3 linked regions of the Drosophila melanogaster genome follow. The protein of the gene in region 1 interacts with the protein of each later gene in a pairwise test. Each region holds a gene or a part of one and is shown in the gene's direction. Other genes may lie near its edges.

Region 1 (6,786 bases):
AAATTATTTTATATTTAATTTGAATTACTCTCTCGAGCATGTTCTTTCTCCAGCGAAATGATGTATTCAAGCATATAAGCTTAATTAATGCTGGCATACATAATTAGTTTTGCTATCAAGGGACACACTTCAACATTTTTGCTAAAAAAAAGGGGAAACAAAGGATTATCAGAGTACAGAAAAATTTTACGGTAAAACTCCACTCATCTGTAGCAAAAATGTTTTTAAACAGATTTTTTTTGGAAAAAATGTAGCTGACAAAAATGGGTTATTGAATTCCAGTTCGCACGGATCCTCCGGCTAAATTCCTGTAAATCGCCGTGCACCTTTTTTCGCTACAGTTTTTCGCTTTTTGGATAATTGGTGGCATATCAGTGTTTCAGCTGGCTGACTGAACAGGTAAATGTCGGGAAAAAGCGACAACAGGGCCAACTATTTCGTGTTTTTCTTTTTCCGAGCAAACACGCTGCAGTGGACACAATAAATGAATCACGAAATGCGGAAAAAACACACAAGAGCGGGGCAGCGCCGGAAAATCGGGCAGCCATTCGCATCCGTGGGTTGACATTTAATTGCCCGGTGGGTCTGGGTGCGGGCCATTCCCCCGTCCAGAGTCCCGAGCCCTGGGTCCTGTGTCCTGCGTTCTGCGTTCTGCGTCCTGAAAAGGATGTGGGCTCGATGGTGGGTTAAGTGTGGTTGCGGCATGGCCACCATATCAGTTGTAACCCGATAAACGAGCTGCGTTTGCATGAGCACACCCTCGCCCGGCTTATGTTACCCCGTTTGCCTCTGGCAAATGCATCTCAGCGATGCGTTAAACCGCCAGAGCCACCCCAAAAACCACCCAAAGCCAGCAAAACCAGCCAAAGCACACGGACCACGACCGACTGTTTGCTATTGGGATGACGCCAGCGATGGACGTTAATCTGGCCAGCAAATTGGCCATGAGCTGATTGGTTTTGTACCTGTTGCGTATTCCCACCTGCAGTTCCGGTCCCCCGCCCCAAATGGGGCCCACCCATTTTGACCGAATAGAAGCGTTCGCCGTGTAGGAATTCTGCTAATTACTACATATATGTTATGGTTTAATCCACCCGCAGGCCTTACAACATCCAGCTGGCTAGGAAAAATGCAGCCATTCAAATTGTAAATACTCAGCAGGAACTAAAAGCAGTGGATGTGTTTCAAAATGCAATTGTCAAACTCATTGCTATTCAATAAAATTCAAGCAAATCCTCAAATAATGATATTTCTATTGTACTGTATTGAATCATTAACTCTTTTTGGCCAAATTATGAAGGTGAACCCTTAAATCAACCAAAAAATACGTATTTTGGCCAAAACAATCGATTTTATGGCCCAAATATTGAGTGTCATAGCTTGTTGAACTTGTATTCACATTCCTAATCGATTCCCATTCAAATTTGAAAATTTTAATTTTTGTCAATTTTTTGCAAATTTTAACGATGTAACCCCTTACAAAAAATGCAAAAAATGGCCAAAAATTTAATTATTGAAAATCGTCAAGATTGTGATTGGGATAGTTAGTTTGGATCATTAGGAGTCTAAAACAGTAATTTTTTTGAATGTGCGACTTTTTTTGGCCAAGTTATGAAGGTAGCCCTCCTTGGAAAACTCGTGTTTTGGCCACAATAATTTAGGTAGCAACCCAAATATACTTTAAAAATTAAATTACAAATATTTAAAAGCATTTTCAGCGTGATAAAATTAAATTTTCTTTTCTTGAAAACCAAGCAACAACCGGAAGCGGAAGACGCCACTGGTGCTCGCTGTTAGAACTACAAATTTAAATTGGGAAAATATCGATAGCATGCAAAATCCAGTTGGACTGCTATCGATGGGAGGCGCAACAGCTGATTTTGATAGTGCCGCCCTGGTTGTTTTTCGGTTCAAGTTGAATTTTAATTAATTTTCGCCGGTTATCACAGAAATGGCCCCGCCAAAGGCCGCCAGCCACCGTCCGGCGGTGCGGCGCAAGAAGTCGGGCACCCTGGTGGACTCCATCCTGGACAAGTACCTCAACGTGCGCTTCTTCAAGTATCTGCTCCTGGAGCCGGCCGCTCTGCCCATAGTTGGCCTCTTCGTGCTCCTGGCGGAGCTGGTCATCAACGTGGTGGTCATCCAGCGGGTGCCCTACACAGAGATCGACTGGGTGGCTTACATGCAGGAGTGCGAGGGCTTCCTGAACGGCACCACCAACTACAGTCTGTTGCGCGGTGAGTTTCTGCGCCGCTCCTGGTTTATTTTTGGCCACAGGTGACCCCATTCCGGTTGCGGAAACATATGCGTGCACCTGTTGTTCTTCGCATGATGTGGTTATAACGATATTTTAGGTTACCTTACTAAGGGGATAGCCTATTTCCAACTAGCTATATAGTTTATGCTCTTTTTTAGTTGGAATTCTTATAAAATTGATATTTCAGTTACTTTAAAGTTTGAAGTATTTTCAAAATCGAGGAGAGTAGTTTGACATATGGTTCAAATGTTTGAACACAGTTACCATCAAAGGTTAAACACAGAGATTTGGGGAGTTGGACGACATCAAATGCGGCACGAACTTTAGGCAACTGAAAATCGGAGCAGCGTGAGATTAAGACAAGTGAAGTTAGCCTCGCTTAAACGCAGAACTTGCCCGACTGACGGTCAATTTGGTTTATTCATCTCGAACCGAGTCGTATTTGGAATACACTCCCCCGGTTCCCGCCCGAACTTAGATTAGCAACAATAACGTGCGTTAACTTAGACACTAAAAAAACAGAATCGGCCATCGGGTTGCCAACGCCTGTCAGTTGAACATGGACTTGATCTTGCTTATGAAGCCTCCGCCTCCGCCGTCGCCTTGTCCGGATCCGGATCCGCCGCCTTCTTTCGCTTTGGTTTTCTCGTTGTCCGTCCACTGGTCTTTGCCTTCGCTTTTTTCTGCTCCTGGTCCTGGCTTGGAGGCTCCTGATCCGGCGGCTGCTGCACTGGCTTTAGCAGCTGCTCCCGCTCCTGGCTCCTCACTCGCTCCTGCGCTGCAACGAGAGATGGGGAAGGGGAGAGAAAGACGCCATCATTTAATAAAGCTCGCACATAGAACGCACGTATATTTCAACTACGAATTCAAGCTCCAAGTTACATTTAGAGATTGCATTGGTAGATCGGGAGATTATTTACGTTGCTTGCTTACTGCCGTCTTTGCGATTCGCGATTCCGTGGATCTGCCCGGGGGTGTCCTCCTCCAGCTCGGCGTACGCCTCGATCAGAGCCAGTCGCTTCTTGTCCAGCTTCTTTGCCGATGGCACCGTGATCTTGACGTGCACGTAATGATCGCCGTGTCCGTGGGCATTCACGCGTTTCAGACCCTTGCCGCGCAGCATGATCTTGTGGTGCGACGAGGTGCCCGGCTCCACGTTGATCCACTGATCCTCGTATACGCCCTGGACACGCACAGTGCCGCCCAGCACCGCCTGGGCCAGGGATATGGCCGCGTCCGTGTGCACATCGGCGCCCTCGCGCCGGAAGTAGTCGCTCCGCTCCACGCGGAACGTGACGAACAGCTCCTTGCTGCCCACCTGCATTCGCACCGTTTGCCCGTTCTCAATGCCAGCCGGCACCGGCACGGTGACCTTGCGGCGCTGGACCGTGCGGCCCTTGCCCTCGCACTCGCTGCACGGATACTTAATGTGCTGCCGCGTGCCCTGGCAGTAGCGGCAAGTGGAGCGCATTACGAAGGGCCCAGTGGACACCGTTTCGAAGCCGGTGCCGTTGCAGTACTGACAGCGACCTGGCTTGGTGCCCGGCTCGCACTTGGTGCCGGCGCACTTGGGGCACTGGTCCACCACGTTGACGTTGACATCCTTGTTAACGCCGCGCGCCGCCTGGGCAAAGGTCAGGTCCATGACCATCTCCTGGGCCTGGCCGAATCCGAACTTGGAGTCGGCGAAGTCGTCGAACGAGTTCGTTCGAAAGTTGCCCTCGCCGAAGATCTTGCGGAAGAGCTCCTCGGGGTCGATGCTCGAGCGGAACTGCCAGCTCTGCGAGAAACCCTCGGGGCCAAAGCCACCGGCTCCTCCGCCAGGGAATCCGCCGCCCTGGCGACCAATGTTTTCCGCCGTCTGGCCATAGGTGTCGTACTCACGGCGCTTCTGCTCGTCGCTGAGCACTTCGTAGGCCTCGGAGACCTCCTGGAACTTGCGGCCCGCATCCGGATCCTCCTTGTTCGTGTCCGGATGGTACTTCTTGGCCAGCTGGTAGTAGGCTTTCTTGATGTCCTTGCCGTTGGCGTTCTTGGCAACGCCCAGCGTGGCGTAGTAGTCCTTGGCCAGGAGGTCGCGCGTGGTGTGCAGGCGGCGCACTTGGGGTGCGTCTGCCCGGGTACTTCCGCTCCCGGCGCTGGAGAGGATTCGGTAGGAGGTCGCGCGTGGCGTGGAGAACGCGGCTGCCGCTAGGCAACGGCGCACCGCCGGCAGCTGCCGGAACACGAATAATTTTTTACACGAAATCATCATTTTTCCATAAAAGTATCAGATTTTCAGCTTTTCAACAACATGCCGTAACATCCATGCTGTCCTACGAATGTCTGTCTCTCTCTCTCTCACTCGCACTTGCTCAATGTGACCGCGTGCGTAGCGAGCGAAAATACCAACCGGCGTGAAAGCGAATGAAATATCGTTATATACCGTTAAAGTTAAAAAAGCCGTATATTAAATAAGTTAACTAAAGTTTTGCCTTTAAAATAAATATGAAGTGTAACTCAATGGATATAATAGTTTTCCCAGGCCCAAACAGACTGAAATAACTGCTTAGTGAATGAAAACAATGACTAATTGCATTCCTTCTATCTAATTTATGATAATTGAAATTCTTCGATTTTCGATTTCCTAGGCGACACAGGACCTCTTGTGTATCCAGCCGCCTTCGTGTACATCTACTCGGCTCTCTACTACGTCACGTCCCACGGAACGAACGTTCGCCTGGCGCAGTACATCTTCGCCGGGATCTACCTGCTCCAGCTGGCCCTGGTGCTGAGGCTGTACTCGAAGAGCAGAAAGGTGCCGCCGTATGTGCTAGTGCTCAGTGCCTTCACGTCGTATCGGATCCACTCGATATACGTGCTGCGACTGTTCAACGATCCGGTGGCAGTGCTGCTCCTCTATGCCGCACTCAATTTGTTCCTGGACAGAAGGTGGACCCTGGGTAGCACCTTCTTCAGCTTGGCGGTGGGCGTTAAGATGAACATCCTGCTGTTTGCGCCTGCGCTCTTGCTGTTCTACTTGGCCAACCTGGGACTTCTGCGGACGATCCTGCAGCTGGCTGTCTGCGGAGTGATACAACTGCTGCTGGGCGCTCCTTTCCTGCTCACCCATCCTGTGGAGTATCTGCGGGGCAGCTTTGATTTGGGACGCATCTTCGAGCACAAGTGGACGGTCAACTATCGCTTCCTGAGCAGAGATCTGTTCGAGAACCGCACCTTCCACGTTTCGCTTTTGGGCCTGCATCTGCTGCTCCTGCTGGCCTTCGCCAAGCCCACTTGGACCTTTTTCCAGAGCTACGTGCGCCTGCGCCGTATTGAGGATCAGCTGCAGCCGCAAATAGCCCAGCAGAACCTCGAGCTGAACGCGCAGAAAAGACCAAAGAAAGTGGAAAAGGACAAGGACAAGGACCAGAAGAAGTTTACAACCGAGCAGCAATCCTTCCTGAAGGCCTTCGAGAAGAGCCTGCAGAAGGCGTCTGGAGGAAAGGCCACTCCGGCACCCGCACAGGCGGAACCGGAACGCTATGGCATCCACTTCGATCGCTGCACCCAGCTGGCCCTGCTGCCGTTCTTCCTGTGCAACCTGGTGGGCGTGGCCTGCTCCCGATCCTTGCACTATCAGTTCTACGTCTGGTACTTCCACTCGCTACCCTATTTGGCCTGGTCGACGCCGTACTCGCTGGGCGTGCGCTGCCTGATCCTCGGACTGATTGAGTACTGCTGGAACACCTATCCCAGTACGAACTTCTCCAGCGCTGCCCTTCACTTCACCCACATCATACTGCTCGCTGGGGTGGCCAAGCAGCTTGTCCAGACCATGCGGATTAATAATGCGGCCAAGAGGGAGCAGCAGGAGCAACAGAAAAAGCTGCAGTAAAATGGTCTGAGTGCCACTTGTTAGCCATGAGTGCCACATATAAACCGTTTTGATTATGCCAAAAAAAAAATTGAATAAACAGTACATTAAACGAGTTAGTTTTTAGAGAATCAATCAAGGCAGCTTTAAAATGGAGTTACTTTTATTCGGGTACGTTAGTCTTTCGTATCTTTTGGCTCTGTACAGAGGGCGGGGAGTTGGTTACCAACTCGTCCCGCGATAGATGCAACCTACTATCTACATAAAATAACTTAAACAATGTCCGCTTAAAACTACAAGTGCAATAATGGTGCTGTGGCTCGAGGCTCCGCGTCAATCGCTGCCCACCGCCGTCGTGGGCGTGCGCATGCTGAGGGGCGTGGCTGCGGGCGCAGTCACTGCCGGGGGATGGGGATCAGAAGAGGAGGGAGCCGCATTCGTTGTCGTTGTTTCCTCCGCCGGCACACTGCTACTTCTCTGAATGCTAAAGAATCGCAGGAGCGTCGTCTCGCTGTTTCGCCTACTGGAAGTGGGCGTTTTTGGCTGGGATTGGGAATGGGAGTGCGAGGAGCTGCCAGCCGGCGTGCCACCGCCTCCGTCCGTATGGGAGATGCGTCTGCGGGGCGAGGCGTGTATCCTGGGACTGCACTCTGACTGCCGCAGACTCTGGAGG
Region 2 (4,565 bases), on another chromosome or scaffold:
TACAATTATAATGAGCGAACATTATAATTAGTAATGGAACATGCGTACGTATGCAATAGTAAACATCCATTATAATTAGCAATGGGAACCTGCCGTTTCCACTACAAAATAAAATCATTTATTGGTCAAGATATGAAAAACGCACATTTGGCTTGCATTGGGGTTCTGGCGATCTTCCACATCTAATTGAATGTACTAGTATTCTCGAGTTCGTTGGGAGTTATTATTTTATGTGTAACCTTTCAAAATGGAAACTTTCCAATGGAAAGTGAGCATATTTTTAAAAAAAAATCCAAAAATCCTTTATCAATGACCTCTATAAGTTGCTTAACATTTATTTAACTTTCGTTCGACAATCAGTGATAGGTTCTGCTCCTTGCTCATCCTCTACAGACCGGCCTGCAGACCAAAGCCAGGACCCTTGGGCTCCTCGCTCAGGGAAGTGGGCTCGCCCTTTGGCTCGCTGGCAAAGCGTCCGTTGCGTGGCCCAGGGGGCGATATCTTATCCGCCTTCAGGTCGTTCAGGATGTCCTGCATGTCCTTGGATGTCAGATCCTCCTGCAAAGTAAAAAAAAAACGTTAGCAATGTTTGCACAATATAGAGTCGATTTCAGCGCATTAAGATTGAAACGCTGGACGAGGCTGAGAGTGAAACTGGCGTTTCCTACAAACAAATGACCAGGAAACACATTTAGCAATTAGAATTGCTTACATAGTAGTCATCGTTGATCGCCACCATTGGCGCATTGACACAGGCGCCCAAGCACTCGACCTCCGAGATGGTGAACTTCCTGTCCTTGGTGGTGTCGCCGACGCCGATGCCCAGCTGCTTCTTGCAGGTCTCCAGGATGTCGTCCGATCCGCGGAGCCAGCATGGTGTGGTGGTGCACACCTGGATGTGATACTTGCCAGTGGGCTTGCGCATGAACATCGTATAGAAAGTGGCCACCTCGTAGACGCGCATATTGGGCAACTGGAGAATCTCGGCCACCTTGTGCATGGCAGAGATTGGCAGCCAGCCGTACTGGCGCTGTGCCAGATCAAGCAGCGGGATCATGGCGCCGCGCTTGTGCCCCTCCGGATAGATGCTGAGTATGGCCTCCACGCGCTTCTTGTTCTCCGCCGTGAACTCGAACGGGATGTTGGGATTATCCTCCGGTGTGTCGCGATGGACGAACAGATTGTCGCTGGCCCGGGCACTGCTGGTGGCAATTGCCCGGATGTTGGCGCGCTGCAAATAACAACACATATCCTTAATGTTATTGTTTTCCTGTCGCCAATTATATAACTCGGGGAACAGGTTGCCTTCCCTGGTTGACACCGCGAATTACTGGACAGTTTGGATGGCTGCGCTACTCACCACGGCGGCCAGTGTTTTGGAGGCACAGTTTGTCAGCATTCTGGCGTTTCCAAAATAATGAAAAGGCTGAAAATTTGCTCTTATGTTATGTGAAGTCCGTCGGCTGCTGTCAGTTTTTTTTTAACAAGCACCGCTTACAGCTGATTTTCGGCGGAGCGTTTGCCAACACTGGCACTTGTCGTCAGAGATGAGCAAATCTCTACAAATCTTGTACAACATTAATAAAAAAAAGCTTAAACAAATAAAACTTGTAATTAAATTAATATTCAGCGGTACGTTACATTTTTTTATTCCTTTTTAAAATAAGTTTTCTAAAACAGTAAGCGATATATATCGCTGTGACTTCAGTATCTATGACACTTTTCAACAATGATCGCTGTGCCTTAGCATTCGATATCCGATAAATTACTGAACGCGCAAACTTGTAAGCTTATCGGGGGGAAACATTGAACGGACAAAATATGGAAAAATATCCACTTGTCAAAGAATTTATGGGGCAAAATTGGCCAAAAGATACCAAAATGGCGCAGCTCGAGAAGGAACTCAAGAAAAGGAAAGAATTGATCGTCGAGGAGCAGAGTGAGTGGGCATAATGCGCGAATCTCCAAGTAAGATTTATACATACATGTTTCTGCTTGTTCAGTTGTAGGGCCGCGTTTGGAGCAGGTGCTATTCGACCTGACCTTGGTCAAGCAGTGCGCCTTGGTAGTGGAGGATAACGGTGCCGGTATGGCACAGGCCAACACCATGATACAGGACTGTATGTTCCAGATCACGCGAATTGAGGAGCTGCTCGAAATGGCCGGGCTGCAGGACATCCTCTACTACACGGTGCATCGCAAGGAGCAGGAGTTCCAGCGCAAAATTAAGCTGCAGGAGGATTTGGCCGAGCAAGAGAATCAGCAGAACACAATCCTCGAATCGCGCAGCATCGGTAAGATTTTGTATGAGGTATTATTGAATACGGAATCCATTTGAATGCTATATAATCATAAACAATAAAAAACATTTTGTTTAATATTTTTTACCCTATGTGATAGTATAAGTTCATTTGTGTTATTTAAATGATTCTCAAGTAGCTTCTATTTCAGTCCAGGAATTCCGAAAAGAGCAAGCCTTAAAAAAAGAGGCAGATAAGGAGCTAGCCTCAGTGGACGACCAACTGGACCAGTCGGATCGCGAGTGGACAATTACGCTGAGAAGTATGACGGATAAGCTTAATAAGAAGATAGTCAGCGTTTTACAGATGGGAAAGCTGATAAACGAATTGAAGGAAGAGGTGAGTAGCTGCGAAATATCCATTCCAAGTGAATAACTTTTCCGTTTTTCAGTTGCAAAAAAGGAATTTGATTAAAACGGGTGTCACTAAGGGCGCTGAACCAAGTTTGGCTGGTGTTCCATCCGCTAGCACCATTTCACCATTTCAGTCCGCTTCGGATTTCCTCAACAACTTCATCTTTAAGAATATCAGACCAGATGACAATAAATCCATGACGAGCGTGAATAGAGAGATCACTACTAAGAAGCTGGAGACTCCTCTGCGATCCATTTTGATCAAATGCAAGGAGGTCGAGTCTGTTGCCATTTCCAACTCGCCAACAAAGCAAGTGCGTTTTTCTCCCTATCCAGAGATAAGCCATATCGAAGAGGAGAAATTTGAGAAGACCGATTGGCTTTCTCCTTCAGAAGAGGCAGGTGTCCCAAATGCGGAATTAGAAGAGGACAGTGACGAAATGGAGGCCACAGACGAAGATTTTGAGGAAATATCAGAAGAAGAATTCGAAATGGCGCTGAAAGATGAAGGATTTGAGCAGGAGGTAAAAGTAGAAAAGTCAGAAGAGGTTTTGCATCTAGAACAGGATAGATATGATGAGAAATCTGGCTCAGAAGTCGAGGAATCCGTATCGGATGACAAGGAATCCGGAGGGGAGGCTTCAGGAGAGGAGGAGCCGGCTGATGCGGCCAAACAAGTAAAAATCGGCGAAAACCCGAAGACTGATGAGCAGCTATCCAATGAAATTTCCGATAAACCACAAATAATTAGAGTCGACACTCTCTCTCCCTTCAAAAACATATCTTCCTGGGCCAGCGACGATATACCCAGCACCTCCAAGGGCACTCTTAATCGTTTTACTGCAACCCAGTTTATGAACTATGGTAGCAATCGCGATGAAAACGAGGCGCCGCCTTGCAAGCGACTAAAATTGGAGGAGGAGGAGTTCCCAATGAGCCAACCAATGCCGGATTACTTTAAGCATCCGTCGTCCACATTCAACAACTTTGATGATCAATCACTTCGATTCAGCTCGCCCCACAACAATTTTGACGATGATTACCTGCTGAACTTCAGCGATGATAATGATGTTACACCTACTGCCGCCTCGGCGTACATACTTTAAATTGTTAACGTATTTTGGTCAAAAATTAATGTATGTTCTTTATAAGAACGGACAATTAATTAATATCCAGATACTTATTCATTCATTGCCATTTGCAATCAAAAAAAATTTCACTTCAGCTAAATTATTTGTAGCTTTATAATGAAATTAATTTGCGTACATAATATGCATATGTACATTTAAATCATACGTATTCAGTTCGAAAGTGCCGTTTCAGACTTATTCTTCATTTTGTCGTTGCTTATAAACTAATAAAACAATAAATTAAGACAAATTCGTGACTTTAAATATTTAATTTTACTGCAAACAGTAAATTTTACCACTTGCAATAAAATACTTTTCTCATTACAGCATATAAATCTTTATTAAAAATGTATATTATAAAATAGGGGAATATGAAGACTACTTAATACAATACATAGTGTAAAATACATTTATATATTTAATCTAATATATATTTAACTTTAATATTTCATTTGTAATTCTGGGCGCCAATGGTTTGAGTCCAAGCTTTAATCGATTTGGTATATTTATGGTTTGTTTTGGTATTTGTCAGCATGCATCGCGCTTAGTATTTTAACCCATGCTGTCGATACCACGAGTTTGTTTTACAAAAATTGAACCAAAACCCAAAATAAATGGCTCGGAAACGAAAGATTCCCGTGCGCAAGCACCACGGCGTCCGTGATCCCCTCAAGCAGCTGGAACAGAAGGAGAAGAAGTTTGTTCATAGTGGCAAGTCAGTCGAAAAAGGCAGCTAAACTAATATCTGCACCATTTCACATTTCAGACTTTCCAAAGTAACG
Region 3 (7,935 bases), on another chromosome or scaffold:
GGTCAACTATGGCACAAATGCCCCAGCTGGCACCCACATTCCCGTGACCAAGGCCCTGGAAATTGGACAGTGGGAGGAAAAGCTCAAGGCCGCCGGCGTCGAGGACAGGAAGTTCAACGTGAAATGCATCGTGTCGCATGTCCTGAAGCAGAAGTTTGTAAGTATCTGTGAGAAAAGCTGGCTATCAACATCACTAACCATGTTTACGTTCCGTAGAGTTCGGTTCCTGACTCATTTGACCAGCTGCAGCTAAATCCCGGCCAGCTGGCGGATTTCGAGCGCTTCCTGGAGGCCCGTTGTGCCCGCATGCCGTTGCAGCACATCATTGGCGAGTGGGACTTCATGGACATTACGCTGAAGACATCGCCGTCGGTCTTCATTCCACGCCCCGAAACGGAGGAGTTTATGCGCCTGGTGATCGATGATCACAAGAACGCAAAGCACGTCGATCTTTTGGAGGTGGGCTGCGGCTCGGGCGCCATGTCCTTGTCCATGCTACACAGTCTGCCGCAGGTGGTGGCCACTGCCATTGAGCGTAGCAAGGCGGCAACCGTTCTGGCTGCGGAGAATGCCAAAATGCTGGGGCTGCTGAATCGATTTGAGGTACACAACCACACCATGGAGGAGGACAAGTACCTGCCGGAGGCGCTGAAGGACAAGAAGTACGATTTGATCATCTCCAATCCTCCGTATGTGAAAACTGAGGAGTTTCAGTTTCTGCATCCCGAAGTCGTGGTGTAAGTGATGTTATACCAGATGGATGCAGTGCACTAACTATCTTATATCCCCAGGTATGAGAACCTTAATGCCCTGGACGGTGGGTCCGATGGATTGAGGGTGGCTCGACTGGTTTTCGACTTGGCTTGTCGGCACCTGCGTCCCGGTGGCAAGCTCTGGCTGGAACTGGGCAACGACCACCCGCCGATGGTGAAGACCATTATGAATCTGAAGTACGAGGGCCGGCTCAAGTTCATCGCCGGCTACAGTGACCAGTATCAGCGCGAGAGATTCGTTCAGATCGAGAAGGTCTAGGCGAGATTGCGCCATAGACAGGACGGAATGCTATGACTTTGACAATGCAATTAGCTATAACGTTGCCCATGCATTTAGCTGTGATTTGATTTAAGACCAGACATACCTGCACGCTGCCCAGAGACTCACACCTATATAAACAGAATATATAGCGCTATTAATCCTTAAGTTTCGTCTCTGAATCTTTTAGCAACAACCGCAGGCGGTATTACTTCACAAATATACCTGTATAAATTGCACAATGCAATTAGCTGTTTGATTTATGACCATATTATTATCAGTATACAAAAACCACAACGACTTTTACCTAAGGCTTTCTACTGCATTTTTGATCCTATAATAATGGATTAACATGATTTTAAAGATCAATAGGTTAAAAGTATAATGCACCTATAATAACTGGTCACTGATTTAAACTATGGCGATTATGATTTATAACCAGAGGCTTGCTGCCATAAATTGGAGGGTGTTAATGATCATCGCGGATCGAGTATAATGCTGTTTAATCAAACTGATGTATTCTATATCTGCGATAAGCAAAATGCTAACCATATTTTTGGCCTGAAAGATGTGTATCCTGTCAATATATAGAATCAGAATATTTCTATGCAAATTAGAAAGTTTTTGCTTAAAGTTACCACTTTAATGCTTATAGGTGTACTGATTATGAAAACAAGGACACATGTCCACAAGGATTACCATAATTATGAACCCGAGTGCATAAATCCCCCGACTTCGCATCTGAATCTTGTTGTAACCGCTCCGCTGGAGAGCTTTAAGCTCCGGAGCGGATAAAAGCTCCGACAGAGTGGCTCGGAGCAACAAGTGGCTAACTTCCGTTGCCAGTTGGAAGTCGAAACTCGCGCCGGACGAGTCTGCGGAATCCGGGTGCGCGAGTGGAACGCGGATTTAGATTGTCGTAGCTCTTTAATTCAATTGACGATTTCGAGCTGCGATCTCCTTCGTTCGGCTGGTGTGTGTTGTTTCACTTTCAAGTACGCATACATATGTGTAGTATAATTAACAAATGGCTAAATCATAATTAAAGTCGGAGTTTCAGTGGATATCACAATGAGCGCTTGATGAAAGTCAAGAAGAGGGAACTTAAAAAGCGCCGAAACAAAACAAAAACGAGAAACACGTTAAACGAGAAATTGATTTTAAAAATTCTACATAAATTTGACCATATAGATTTGGGTAAATGAATGAATGTGCATATATATGTACATGTATATATATATACATACGCCCAAACTGCGATTTGAAGGCGGTTTGAATGTGGATTGGAAACTTTTAGAAACCAATTAGCCAGATCGTGACATTACTTAATGCATTTATCCGCCCGATCGACGCGTGCAAGTGTGTGCCTGTGTGCGTGAGTGCGTGCGTGCGTAAACATGAATACCGAATTGAATCGAGTTCAAACTTGCGTTCTTTTCGCCGACTGGTTTTCCGGCGAGGCTGGCTTAATCGCCTTGCGTTTGTAATTTTAGCACACTTTCAATATTTATTGTCGGTCCCTGCTCCCCGGCGCAGAAAATGCGAATAACAATCTGAGCAAACAAGATTCGGCAACGAATTTGCAGCTTGCCGCGCTGTGCAAATAAAAGTATATATAAAAGTATGTACATATATACATTTATATATAGCTGGTAATGCCTCCTTTGGCAGCATCAATATGTGCACCTGCTACGTGCAACACCGACTTGCAGCAACAGCCAACCGATGAGCGAAAGTCGCACGCCGATTGTGTTAACAAGTGTGTGGCTGGCTGCTCCCTGCCCGCATTTTAATTCATCATCCGCACCGTGTGCCAAGGCACTGCGATTCCCAATCCGTGGAGCTGTGAACGTTTTTGGCGACCTGCAGGCTAAGCAAGCGATTTATATGCTGCCGCTCACATGGCACAAGGTCCCATCCAAAAACAGCAGCGGCCAAGATAGTAGTTCATATGCACATATTTGGGTTCTTAACAGGTTAATTGTCATTTTATAATGATATGGGTTTAATAGGTTTCCATATCTGATCCAAAACTATACAGAAATGGAAGAAAGTCATCATAGGTGATCTTTTATTTGATAATTTCTTACATAAAGTTACTACTTCTTGTTCCCCATTGTACGTTGTGTACAGTGCGCGACGGCTAAGAAAACGGAGTGAAAATCAAGATAGTCGTTATCTAGTTTAGATGGCCTTTCGCAGTCGGGGACTGGGAAACATTGAAATGCAAATACGCCGCCTCGGTAGTTTCATTTGTGTGTCAAAAATTGTGTGGGGGTGTGGGGGGTTAACCCGGCTTAGACTCTAATCTGATCGATCGGAGTGTGAGAAATGGCCTGCTAATGGAATACTTACCACTTTCCCACACTTTTCAATCGCTTCAGCCGAGTGTGTCACCTGTGCGAGCCCATTAATACCCAAGGATGAGCTGGACAAACGAAAGTTAGTTGCGATCGCGTGAAAAGGGAAACCGGACAGTCGGTTTTTTGAGTGCGGATACAAAGTCTACATGTGGCACAACGACAACAGCATCGGCCAGTAATTTAAATGCTTCGCGGCGGCAATTGAAAGGGCCAGCAATTAACCACGACTACTGCAGCTGCGAGGCATAGTGGAAAATCACTTTTATAGACGTACATACATAACTCTATATATACATAGAGTTAGCTCCTGCAGCAAAATGAAGAACCGCCAGCGAACGCGCCGAATATCGCTAAATGAAAACCACAACAGATACATGGGCAGCGGCGGCATCGATGTACAAATAGTTACCAATACAAAGGAGCCCAATCAAGTCAATTTAAATTCATCGTCAGCCACGACGACCTCAGCGGAGGCTGCTCTGCCCGCTTCGCTTCCACTTGCTCAGATAGCGCAGCAGCCACATACCCATCCCCATCCCCATCCCAATCCCCATCTCCACCAGCAACACCAGCTGATTGTGACGCCCACAACGATGACGGGCAAGTATCATCCAGCGCACGCCAAGCTGCGAAGATGCAAATCGACGCCGAGTCTCAATTGCGATGGCATGGCGGAGCCCATGGAGGAGGACCAGCTCCATCGCTTTGCAGCATGCTCACGTAACCCCGCCGCGGAGGCTCAGCAGCATGCACAGCCATCGTGCAACAGCAGCAGCAGCAGCAGCGACGGCAGCTGCAACAGCAACAAGTGCAGCAGCAACATCTGCGGTGCGCAGCCAACAACTCCGGAGTCATTGCGCTTCGGATGCGCTCACTACAAGCGGCGGGCCATGTTCGTGGTAAGTGCAACAGGCAGTCCAACTCCATTCATATTATCTATGGATGCTTTTCCAAGCATTACATAAAAGGAAAAGCCCCAGAAAAGTTATAAAAGTTATACACTTGAACTTCTTTGATATGTATATCAATACAAATTTTAATCCTTTTTTAGTGTATCGTAGTATCTATAACCATTCTTAAGATTAGTAGATAGATGTTCGTAGAAAGACTAGACGGATCCATGTATCTAGCAGTCTTACTTGTAGTGAGATTAGTTTATTCAAACCTCAAATGTGAAACCAGTCAACTTATGTGATATAAGAACAAACTTCAATTTTGAAAGTTCTTTTTTTATTTTATACGGGTATAGTTCAATTCCTGGGTCATCAGATAAAGAATTATGCAATTGGAACCCCTATGTCATGATTAGAAAGCGGATCAGTCATTTCACTTTTATAAAATGAATCCTAAAAATACATTGAAATAAATTCAAAGTGATAAAGCCATTAAACATTTCACCCATTTGGAAAATTTTCAAGAAGATTATGATGGCGCCTCTAAATGGCATTTGTATGCCTATTTATCCATCTATCTATCTATGTGTGTGTGTGTGTCTATCCAACACAGCTACCTTCCTGAAAATGGGCGCATTTAACCTTTATTTATTCGTTCCTAAACAAATAAAGTGGCTAAACTCTAAACAGACACCTTTGGCGAAGATTCTTTTGTGTCTGTCTGCTGACTAGATTTTGAATTCAATTGGAGGGCATCGCTATTTGCACGGCAAGTGTTTGGCTTGTGTGGACAGCTTGACGATGTCCGGCATCCAAAAAACTAACTGGTCAGCATGCTCCGCTGAGCAGGAACTGAGCAGGAGGCGAGTGGCCACTGGCCAGTTAACACCTCCATTCGCCATTCATCTGGGCAAACAATGCGTTTGTCTTGATCGCTCGCGTTTGGATAACAAATTATGGGGCATCTAAAAATGTTGTGTGTGCATATAAAGCAATCGTAGCACGGCTATATTCAGGTTCTTTACCTTAACAATTAGTAGAGCCAGCAGACATAATTATCGTAAGGTGATAAGTACAGAAGTTCGAAGGTGGGAAAAGTAACTCAGTGCTGGGGAAAGTGGTAACCATTTCATGTATAAAGTATCTCATGCAGAGAAGACTGCAGCTGCACTTGATTAGATAGATTTGTTTGTGAATGACCTGGATTATTAAATAAAGAAAAAGAAAGTTAAATGTAAATATTTAAATACTTATAATTCCAACAGTAGTGAGCGCTTATTTGTTGTTGAAAAGCAGCCAATTCGCGATATGAATTATTAATTCCCCAAAAATTCTGTATTATGCGCTATGGCCTTACAATACTTTCCAAAAAATGTCACGTAAATCCGTACACACGCTTCAATCTGTCCCACATTTTAATAAAATTCGAATGTAGAGGTTTTTGCTTTCGTCTGTGCACCGCGAGAAATTCGGATAAGCGAGGGTTTTGTGCACTAATGAGGTGCCCATTGAGTGTTGAATCAGCTGGGTTATTTTATAGTCAAATATTTATTTTCGCCCGACAGTGCGTGAAATAAATGTATACATGAATGTGGACATAAGCTGAGAGCAGTATGTGCAATCCCCCAAGTGGAGCAATGCCCCATGGATATCGCCTGTTCCCGCGAATCTTGTATCAATTTGTGTTAGAAGCTTTGTTTCGTCTTGGCTAAATAAATTTGAGATGTCTGGAGTTAGCCAATTGCAGATGCAAACGATCATTAAAATACGATCGTTAGTGAAGCACAGCAATGAAAGCCGGGGGGAATGACAAAGAAACCGGATTCGAAGACTCTTCTCCGGTTCGGTTCTGTACTTCGAGTGTTATCATCGCAGCAGCAGCAGAGTTGAAATAAATACTTGTATACGAAAAAACTGTTGTTAAGTTATAAATAATTCTCAAAGATAGTGGAGATAGATGTGTGCGCGAGGCTGGAGGCAGATACAAATGGCTGGGTGTTGGCTGTAACTAAGCCGAACTCGAGGATACACAAGATAATTAAGGGCATAAATTAACTTATTTTCAAACTTTATCCCCAAGACAAAACTGATAGAACTATATCATGTAGTTCGAGCTGTGCATCGACAGGTGAACTAATTAGCAGCCACCTAATTAAACGACACGAGTACCTTTGGCATCTTTACAATCGGATTGGGATTCACCCGCTGATTTGACTCGAAATTCGTACAAAATTCGATTCAGTTTCAAGTGCCTTGTTTATGATAATGCTAAGTTATTGCCTTTGGCATGTAGACGTCACTAGTAGATTTGTTTTTTAGTCGGTTTCCAGGCAGATTTCTTAAATTAGCAACTCCATTTGGGGAGTTAGGAGTCGTGCTAATTGCCGCTCGATAATAGGTTTTTCGTAGTCCTTGACTGAGGGGTGTAGTCCATCGGCAGGTGTGGCGGGGAGCAATCTCAGCTCCATTTAAAGTGGAATTTTTTCGAGCAGCGATTTCTTTTCAGCACTAATTTGATCTGATACTGATCACGCAACTATATCTTTCTCAGACCCCCTGCTGCAACAAGTTCTACAAGTGCCGATTTTGCCACGACGAGAACGAGACGCATCACTTCGATCGCAAAACGCTCACCGAACTAATATGCTCCGAGTGCAATACGCGGCAAACGGTGCGGGAGCAGTGCCTCAATTGCGGCGTGAGATTTGGTAAGGTAAGATATCCATCCAGGTGTCCAAAAATCACAGCAAAACCCTACTAGTAATATCATTTTGATGTACTTACAGTACACCTGCCTGATCTGCAACCTCTTCGATGATGCGGACAAGCAGCAGTACCATTGTCATGGATGTGGGATTTGTCGCATTGGCGGTGCGGAGAACTTCTTCCACTGCGAGGTGTGCAACATGTGCCTACCTATTCAGCTGAAGATCGATGGCCACCGGGTGAGTTGGTACTACATTTGGCACTTCATTGGGCTTGATTAAGATTTGGCCTGTAAGTGGGAATGCTGACCTCCGCGATTCGAAAGCAAATCAAAGAAACACATTAACTTTTTTTTTTTTTTGTCAATTCATTACCAAAACCGGTTGCCTAATTGCTATATGTAGCGATATATGATCTGCGATCTGCAATCTGGGATCCAGTTGAGTGGATATGAATGTCAAATGTGCTGAAGCAATGACTTCATTAATTGACAGCGAATTGGGCCAGAGACTGGCATGGCTGATTGCTAAATCCTTGCTAATTGACAACGTGTCTATTTTCCCGTAGTGCGTGGAGAACATCTCGCGATCGCACTGCCCCGTGTGCCTGGGCGACATCCACACTTCGCGCATACCCTGCCACATTCCCGACTGCGGACACCTGCTGCACAAGATGTGCTTCGACCAGCTGCTGGCCTCCGGCCACTACACCTGTCCCACCTGCCAGACCTCGCTGATCGATATGACGGCGCTGTGGGTATACTTGGACGACCAGGCGGAGCGCATGCCGGTGCCACTGAAGTACGAGAATCAGCGAGTGCACATATTCTGCAACGATTGTCACAAGGTACGACTAGATATACATAATACTAACATTCATGAAAAGCTCTTATAACCTTATCCAATTCATTACAGACTTCAAAAACCAAATTCCATTTCATC

The links.
Region 2: the proteins of Alg3 (region 1) and corolla interact in a two-hybrid assay, tested with the Drosophila melanogaster proteins (one large-scale study listed by BioGRID).
Region 3: the proteins of Alg3 (region 1) and Rchy1 interact in a two-hybrid assay, tested with the Drosophila melanogaster proteins (one large-scale study listed by BioGRID).

What each region holds. Positions count from the first base shown.
Region 1 is NT_033778.4:23,704,879-23,711,664, reverse strand, and holds Alg3 (ALG3, alpha-1,3- mannosyltransferase), read left to right. Parts: upstream 1-1,872; 5' UTR 1,873-1,951; coding exon 1,952-2,237; exon of another isoform or gene 2,238-2,488; intron 2,489-2,638; exon of another isoform or gene 2,639-2,806; coding exon of another isoform or gene 2,807-3,035; intron 3,036-3,079; exon of another isoform or gene 3,080-3,173; coding exon of another isoform or gene 3,174-4,511; exon of another isoform or gene 4,512-4,752; intron 4,753-4,887; coding exon 4,888-6,134; 3' UTR 6,135-6,226; downstream 6,227-6,786. Other genes in the region: CG5504 (uncharacterized protein), read right to left, coding at 2,807-3,035, 3,178-4,511; l(2)dtl (lethal-(2)-denticleless), read right to left, coding at 6,447-6,786. UniProt on the Drosophila melanogaster protein: Probable alpha-1,3-mannosyltransferase involved in the N-glycosylation pathway. Involved in glycosylation of the TNF receptor grnd, regulating its ligand affinity. Required for normal epithelial growth and architecture.
Region 2 is NC_004354.4:17,629,256-17,633,820, reverse strand, and holds corolla (corolla), read left to right. Parts: upstream 1-1,773; 5' UTR 1,774-1,821; coding exon 1,822-1,939; intron 1,940-2,003; coding exon 2,004-2,294; intron 2,295-2,451; coding exon 2,452-2,639; intron 2,640-2,691; coding exon 2,692-3,759; 3' UTR 3,760-4,030; downstream 4,031-4,565. Other genes in the region: ND-24 (NADH dehydrogenase (ubiquinone) 24 kDa subunit), read right to left, coding at 388-558, 713-1,231, 1,361-1,399; CG8326 (uncharacterized protein), read left to right, coding at 4,398-4,480, 4,550-4,565.
Region 3 is NT_033779.5:6,459,621-6,467,555, reverse strand, and holds the start of Rchy1 (ring finger and CHY zinc finger domain containing 1), read left to right. Parts: upstream 1-1,886; 5' UTR 1,887-2,027; intron 2,028-3,416; 5' UTR 3,417-3,712; coding exon 3,713-4,294; intron 4,295-6,839; coding exon 6,840-7,001; intron 7,002-7,074; coding exon 7,075-7,233; intron 7,234-7,561; coding exon 7,562-7,840; intron 7,841-7,908; coding exon 7,909-7,935. Other genes in the region: HemK1 (HemK methyltransferase 1), read left to right, coding at 1-157, 217-737, 792-1,032.